Tribolium castaneum: one gene and its partner. The protein of the gene in region 2 binds, or shares a complex with, the protein of the main gene of each other region. Links are inferred from orthologs where the notes say so. Each region holds a gene or a part of one and is shown on either strand. Other genes may lie near its edges.

The links. The genes of interacting proteins can lie anywhere in the genome.
Region 1: lobo (region 2) and dynein regulatory complex protein 8 share a complex: the UniProt entries of both Homo sapiens proteins name them as parts of the nexin-dynein regulatory complex. The link is inferred for Tribolium castaneum from reciprocal best matches to the Homo sapiens genes DRC7 and DRC8.

The regions. Positions count from the first base shown.
Region 1 is NC_087394.1:7,333,147-7,335,852, forward strand, and holds dynein regulatory complex protein 8, read left to right. Parts: upstream 1-1,285; 5' UTR 1,286-1,420; coding exon 1,421-1,451; intron 1,452-1,501; coding exon 1,502-1,739; intron 1,740-1,785; coding exon 1,786-1,996; intron 1,997-2,045; coding exon 2,046-2,180; 3' UTR 2,181-2,202; downstream 2,203-2,706. Other genes in the region: delta(3,5)-Delta(2,4)-dienoyl-CoA isomerase, mitochondrial, read right to left, coding at 2,236-2,334. UniProt on the Homo sapiens protein: Component of the nexin-dynein regulatory complex (N-DRC), a key regulator of ciliary/flagellar motility which maintains the alignment and integrity of the distal axoneme and regulates microtubule sliding in motile axonemes.
Region 2 is NC_087396.1:17,962,944-17,967,250, reverse strand, and holds the start of lobo (dynein regulatory complex subunit 7), read right to left. Parts: upstream 2,819-4,307; 5' UTR 2,797-2,818; coding exon 2,410-2,796; intron 2,346-2,409; coding exon 2,220-2,345; intron 1,420-2,219; exon of another isoform or gene 1-1,419. Other genes in the region: Atg2 (autophagy-related protein 2 homolog B), read right to left, coding at 3,280-3,525, 3,582-3,725, 3,774-3,928. UniProt on the Homo sapiens protein: Component of the nexin-dynein regulatory complex (N-DRC) a key regulator of ciliary/flagellar motility which maintains the alignment and integrity of the distal axoneme and regulates microtubule sliding in motile axonemes.

The DNA.
Region 1 (2,706 bases), on a different chromosome or scaffold from region 2:
ATTTTGAAAAGATGCAGAGTGCAATCTAGGAGAGGTTTTGGATAAAAAAAATTAAAAGAGTTTATAAAATAATTTTGAGTAGTATAGAAAATAATTTCTAAAGAAGTATATGGAGATGGATTTATAAAATAATTTAAAAAGTTCCAATTTTAGGTTTAGAAACGATTTTTTAAAATATTTGAGACTTATTTTAAAAACAATCTAAAAAAGAGTAGACAAACAAATAATGCCAAAAAATAATTTAGAAAAATTCGAAACGAAAGTACAAAGGAATTTTCAAACAAAGCAGACCTAATAATTGTCTTAAAAAACGTGAAAAATTCGTGAATTTATACAATAATCGAAAGAAGAATCTATATTTCAGATCTAGAATTAGGCTTATTTAGGAAAAAAAGAAAAGAAAAGAATTAGAAAAGTATATGAAAAAAAAATCCAGAGAAGACTACAGAATTAATAAAAATTATTTGGAAAAATTGTAAAGGAAACTACAGAAGAATTTATAACCGAATCTAAAGATGTAACCTAAAGAAGATTATAACCTAATAAGATTATTTCAAGAGAAAAATTCTATACGAAACTGTAGAAGAATTTTGGAAAGATACAGAGTAGAATCTAGAAGAAAATTTGGATAAAAATATTTGAAAAAAAGTGTATAAAATAATTTTGATTAGAGTCTAGAAAATAATTCTAAAGACGTATCTACAGATACCTAGAGTCTCCTCTACAAAAAAATTTAGAAGAATATTATGAACAATGTAAAAAAAAGTACATAAATAAAATAATAATACAGACTAAAAAATAATTTGGAAGAATTTTAAACGACGCAGACAAGAATCTTAAATTTGGATAATGTCAAAAAAATGTAAAAGTGTTAATAAAACAATTTTGGATTTGAAAGAAGAATCTAGAGAAGATGGATTTATAAAATAATCTAAAGAAGAGTACAGAAAGCTAAAGAATAATCTGGAAGAAATTTAAACGAAACTAAAGGAAAATCTTGAAAAACTGCAAAGTAGAATCTACTACAGAGTGACTATTAAAGACTGTGACAAAAAAACCTATTAGTAACACTGAATTATTGGCCTTCATGGTGGCTTGTTATATTAAGATTTCAAATTTGTCACCAACCTGACAAGAATCGCAATTTTTGAATAATCACCTGGTAAAGAGAATTTGAATAATATTTGTGTATTTATTTTATTTACACTGTTTTTTGTCATTCGTAATTTGTGCAACATAAATATGGCATTTTTACTTTTTAATGTTATTTTTAATTAAGAGTAATTATTATTATTGGTGATTTTTACCAAAAAAATATGCAAGTGGTACAACTGCCAACACTTCAAATCACCTAGCAACCAAAACTGTCGCTAGGAGACCGTCAACTGTTTAAACCTTAACGATTATCAAAATTGTTAAAATGTTGGAAGACGAAGAAGAAGAAATTCATGGTTTTTGTCAAAAACTCGTCTTTTTCCAAAAAACCAACACGTTTTTTTAGTGCCTATTAATAATGACTTGGAGCGCAGAATTGCCGACGCGTTTGAAGTTTTCGACCACGCAGGTAACAAAACAGTCGATGTTCGAGAAGTGGCAACGATCGTACGTGCCTTGGGTTGTTGCCCCACTGAGGCAGAAATTCAGGAAATTTTGATGGCTGTTGAAAACCCCGAATCTCCCGGAAGTGTACACTTGTCTAATTTTTTACCCCACATGTCGCAAATCATCACTGAACACAAGTATCACCAAAATTTAATCGCCAAAAAACGAAATTTTCATTCGCAGGTATCAGCCTGCAAGTCCCGCGCAACTTTTAGAAGCGTTCCAAGTGCTAGATAATGAAGGTAAAGGTTTTTTAACAAAGGAACGCATTTCCACGCTTATGACGCAAGATGGTGAGCCCTTTACCCAAGACGAACTCGACGAAATGCTGGAAATAGCCATAGACCCACACACTCAAACTGTGCCTTATGAATATTACATCAATCAGCTAATGGTACCTAATTTTTATTTTTGCAAATATTGCACTACGTTATTTTTAATAGCACGAACCTGAAGGAGAGAAAGATATCTATAAGTTAGCTGATCGTGTTCTTGAGGAAAATCCACCTCCACCTCCTCCTCCTCCACCTCGAAGGCTGTCCGAGTTCCTGCATGATTTGTCCGTTCCTGAATTTTAAATTATAAAACACTCCAAACTTCCACCTTGTTTATTATTTAATCTTCTTGCTTAATTTACAATTTTGCGAAAACTGTATCTTTCTGTTTGGTAGCTTGGGCTACTGTTGCTGTTGTGAAGTCTTCACTTTGAAGCATTAGCTGATTCCATAAGGCCTGTAAGTAATGTGTTATTAATTTATTATTTTTTGCAGCTGGATTAAGAAACAAGCACTAATGGGGGCGCCATTGAAAAATAAGCTTAATTTATCTTCTTGTTATTTAATTAAGGCAAGTTTCCTTTTATTAGGTGGTTTCAGTGAACATTAATAAAGAATAAAGAAATATTTCTGTGTTGTTACTGATAAATAGTTACTCCTTCTGTTCGAAAATACGGTAGGTATAACTTTTAAAGGCCGGTAAGTAATTACCAGTGTGAGGAAATTTTAGGGGGTGGCCATGAGGCCACAACCGATCAGCCGACTCGTCGTAGCGCTCTCGCGATGTTCATATTTATCGATGAAATGGTCCGCTACAGCGTGTGCATTG
Region 2 (4,307 bases):
TAACTTTGGAATTTTGTTTGCGAGTTGTGTCGAACTTTGAATTTAATGGTTGTCCACTAGTGCGACACTCACTGTGGACGTTTGTGAGTTTAAATTAACGACATTATTATTTGAAGAGGATTGGCTTTGTTTTTTCTGATTATTATATTCGCGTTTCCTACATTCTTCGATTAAGTGACCGTTCTTTTTGCAGTAACGGCAAAATTTTGAATTGGAGTTACTATTAAAATTTGATTTTGTTTTATGATTTTTAGATACACTATGATTAGGTGAATGACTTTGATCTACATTTCTTTTTCGACATTCTTTTGACAAATGACCTTTGACTTTACAATAGGAACAAAATTTATTATTAACAGAAAAATCTGATGAATTATATTTACGAGCATTTAAAAATCTTTCCTCGTCAAGGGCTTCAGCTAACGCATCGTTTAAGTTTTGTGGTTTAGATCGTCTCAAAGCATTTGATATTTCTTCGTTAGCATGTAAAATGAATCTTTGTAGAGCGATTTCGTTAATCATTGCTGTTCGGCCGCATGATTCTTTTTCGTCTTGAAAAGATATTTTATTAAAAGCTAAGGTTTGCAAATTTTCTATTCGCGAAAAGTAAGATTGAACGCTTTCATTCCTATGTTGTCGAATCGAACTTAATTCTTCTAGTATTTGTGAAAAATCGCGTCTGTCTCCAAATAATTTTAGTAGGCAATCACGAAATTCTTTAAAAGAATAAAATTTGTGAAATCGGGTTTGTGCTCTAGCAGCACCTTTTAGTTTAGATTCCATATACGAGATTATTAAAATTTTTTGGTCTCCGCGACATAACGCCCACGCTTGACCGCAATTTTGGAGAAAATCGTAAAGTTTGCTTCTGTCCCCGTCAAAATCGTTAGAAATGATTGACCGGATATCAGACATGTTATGAATTGGCGTATCATTGGTGTTTGAGTTTTCCTTATTATCATTATTATTGTTAGAGTTATGATTTCGATTAGGAATAGGGTTTTGAATTTGCGATGTTGTTATGATTGTTGTGGAGGTTGTAGGTGTAGTGGTAGCGATAGTAGTCATTATTATTTTTTTTGCGTGTGAACGAAGAAACATGCAACAGGATAAACGTACTACTAGATTTAAAAATAGCTTTAGAAAAAGATTGTCCACTTACGTTCAAAGCTGTGGGATACTCGATGAAAATTTCTCGACCCTTTTCTTTGACTTCTTGAAGATTAATTTCAATTGTGGCAATTGGGGGAAAACGGGTTCGATTTTTGATGTCGACCCAATTTTCTTTCTTCTTTGTCACAATCTTCGCATCCTACTGACTGCGCCAATTTGTTGAGTGCCTTCTTTGAAGATGAGTAGTAAATGGACAATATTTCTTGAATATGTTTATTAAAACTAACACTACACTAGAACATGAAGAGATTGAGATTCAGATTCATATTTTTATTCTAATTGCCTGTATATATATACTTTGTTATCAGTCTTGATATCAACAAGGTTTGGGGATGCATGAGTCAGCATGACTTAGTCATTTTGGATCATAACACAAGCAAAGCGTAGTTCCAACTCAATGGTAGTTCCCATTAAAATCTTTTTCCTTATTTGACGTTGTGAGTCAGTTACAAAATGTAAGTTTTTTTTTAAACATGAATTATATCTTATAACTAATAACCTACGAGTATAACTACATATAACCATGTAACCAGCTCAGTTCTCGCCCCATTTTGCATAAAAAGCCTTTCTTTTCTTATTTATACATTGTGATTTAAAAAGACGGTACAATCACTCGGTGGTTTTTTTGAATCTTGGAATGGTAGAGGGAATTGTAACAAAATTAACTCAAGATTAAAAAAATCTTATGTATAAGTAAACGAATTAGGATCGCTTGAAAAACTCATTTGCAACACGTAATAACTTCACTCACTAAAAAATAAATTCGTGAAAAAATTAAATTTTAGTTTCACTTGCGTAGATCTTTGTAGAATGTGTACAGAGAATGACAGCAATTATTTAATTTATAAAAAAAATTCAAAAAATGAATTAAACAAAGAATATGTTATGAATATGTAGCTATGTAGCGATTACGAAAGTACTAATAAGTTTTTTTTCTGTATATCATATCAATATTTTTAACTCTTTAGTTAAAAACTAAGAGTAGTATACAATCATTGTTTTTTCTTTGTTTTGTGATTTTGTAAATAAACATGTTTTTTACTTACAATCAAGGTGGGAATCTCGAACGGCTCGAACCGCAGCGCATTTCCCACAAATTTCGCGCAGTCCTGCCAGGTTTCAATTTCCGGATAGGGAAGCGTTGTGAGCCGAATCGTATTGCACACCATTTTCTGAAAAATTCAACCGCACCCCATCTATCCCTTTGCGGTGGAAGCGCGGCAGCTCTCTGCTTACCTGCATTCCGCATTCGTTGTTACTGGCCAGAAATAATTGCTTCCTGTGAGGATACTTGTAGCTGAATTGCCTCCTGAAATTTTCCGTGTAGAGCAAAAGCAACTTCTCCTTATTGGAATTGGCTAAGTAGCTTTCCGGGAAGTTCACCCGATTCTCAAATTCCGGATGTTCGATTTCGGGCCAACAAAGTTTTATCAAACCCAGCTCGTTCGCTATGTGCGAGAGGTCTTTCAGAGTTAATTCGACCGGTGGTAATAGCTCTCGCGGAGCGTCCAAGATCTCGATGTAATGGTATTTGATCTCCTCTTCTTCCACTTCTTCGCCTTCGCCATCGTCGAACTGGTAACCGTTCAAATAATCCGGAAAGAAGTCCAAATCTGACTCCATTTTTGACAACAATTGAACGCGTTACTATGACGATAGTGTCACTTTTTTGAGGGATAACCAATAAAACGCGTTTTGCGAAGTATAAAAATTTATTCATATTGCATACATGAAAAATTGTTTAATTACAATAATCCTATCACAAAATGGTAATTCGCGGTCCATTTCTGCATCCAAACACACACAACATACAAATAAATAATCGGTACAAACGAAATCATTTGTTGTGGTTGTACAGATTATTAGAATATCACGTGAGAACGAACAGCGCAATTTTGCTCAACTTACGAAAATATATTGTCCCGTTTTTATCATTCAGTATCAGCTCAGGTAAACTCATCCAAAATGGCGTAATATGGACACTGAATATTTGATTAATAACAAGACTACGTAAAAACAACAACTCAATTCACAACAACTCAATTCAACCTTAAACGAAATTATCTATATTGTTAATTTAAAATCACAAACAACAGTCTTTTGTTATCACTCGTATGAATCGTAGGTATCTTCGTTACGCCATTTTTCATTGGCTTCCTTTCTTGCGTCTGGTACCAACTGGCAGCGCATACCACCCAGCACATTGTTGGTAGCTTCAGAAGCTATGATAATTGGTTTAATTATAGTTGGGGGTATTTGGCGTATAACACCCCCGACAGCACCACTGTAACCTTTTTGTTCATGTTCGTGTGAAGCCACTTGTAGTATATTATCGGCAGTTTCCTCAATTCCCTGAAACAATAACCATCACGTAGAATTTTTTTTACAAAAATTCACAACTGTCCTACTTCTTTAACTAGCTTGTACGCATTGGTCACCCCTTCTCTGATGTCCTTGGGTTGGCTGTATCGTTTACGGCGCACTTTTGTCTTTGGATTAATTTTTACGCTCGGCCCTGGGGTCAACATATCAAAGGCAGTTTCAGCCGTAATCTAAAAAAATAACAATATAGAAAATGAACCGAAACGGTTTTAACTCACTTGAATCAGTTGAATAAGCCGCGTTGTGAGCTCTAAAGCTGCTATTGCCGTCGAAGTCGTAAAACTATTAGCACCGCGATGAAGGCCTCTGAAGAAGCGACCATCTTTCTTGTATTGCTCGAACGGCAAGCAAAACAAATCTCTGATTCCCTGAACTGTAACAAGTTTGATTAGCCTATACTACTAAAACTAAATAGTAAGTAGGTTTTAGGAAGGACACGGAACGAGATAAATACAAAATCGCTCAATTTTCTGGCGCCAAAAAATATAAAACGGGAGAGTAAAAACAAGGGCGCTTCAAGTGTTAGACAGTCTCGGGCCCATATGGTTTTAAATTAATTTTATTAATTAGTAAATTACGTAAGTATGCAAAATTTCAATTCATTCAGACAACAGGAACTCTCAAATGTGACTTGCAAAAAAAGAAACAGACAGAAAGACAACAAAGCAAGTCAAATAAAAGCTTTTAATTAATAATTTGGGCTCGGTCCCATATTTTTTAATATGAATATCTTCAAGGTATGAACAGTGTAG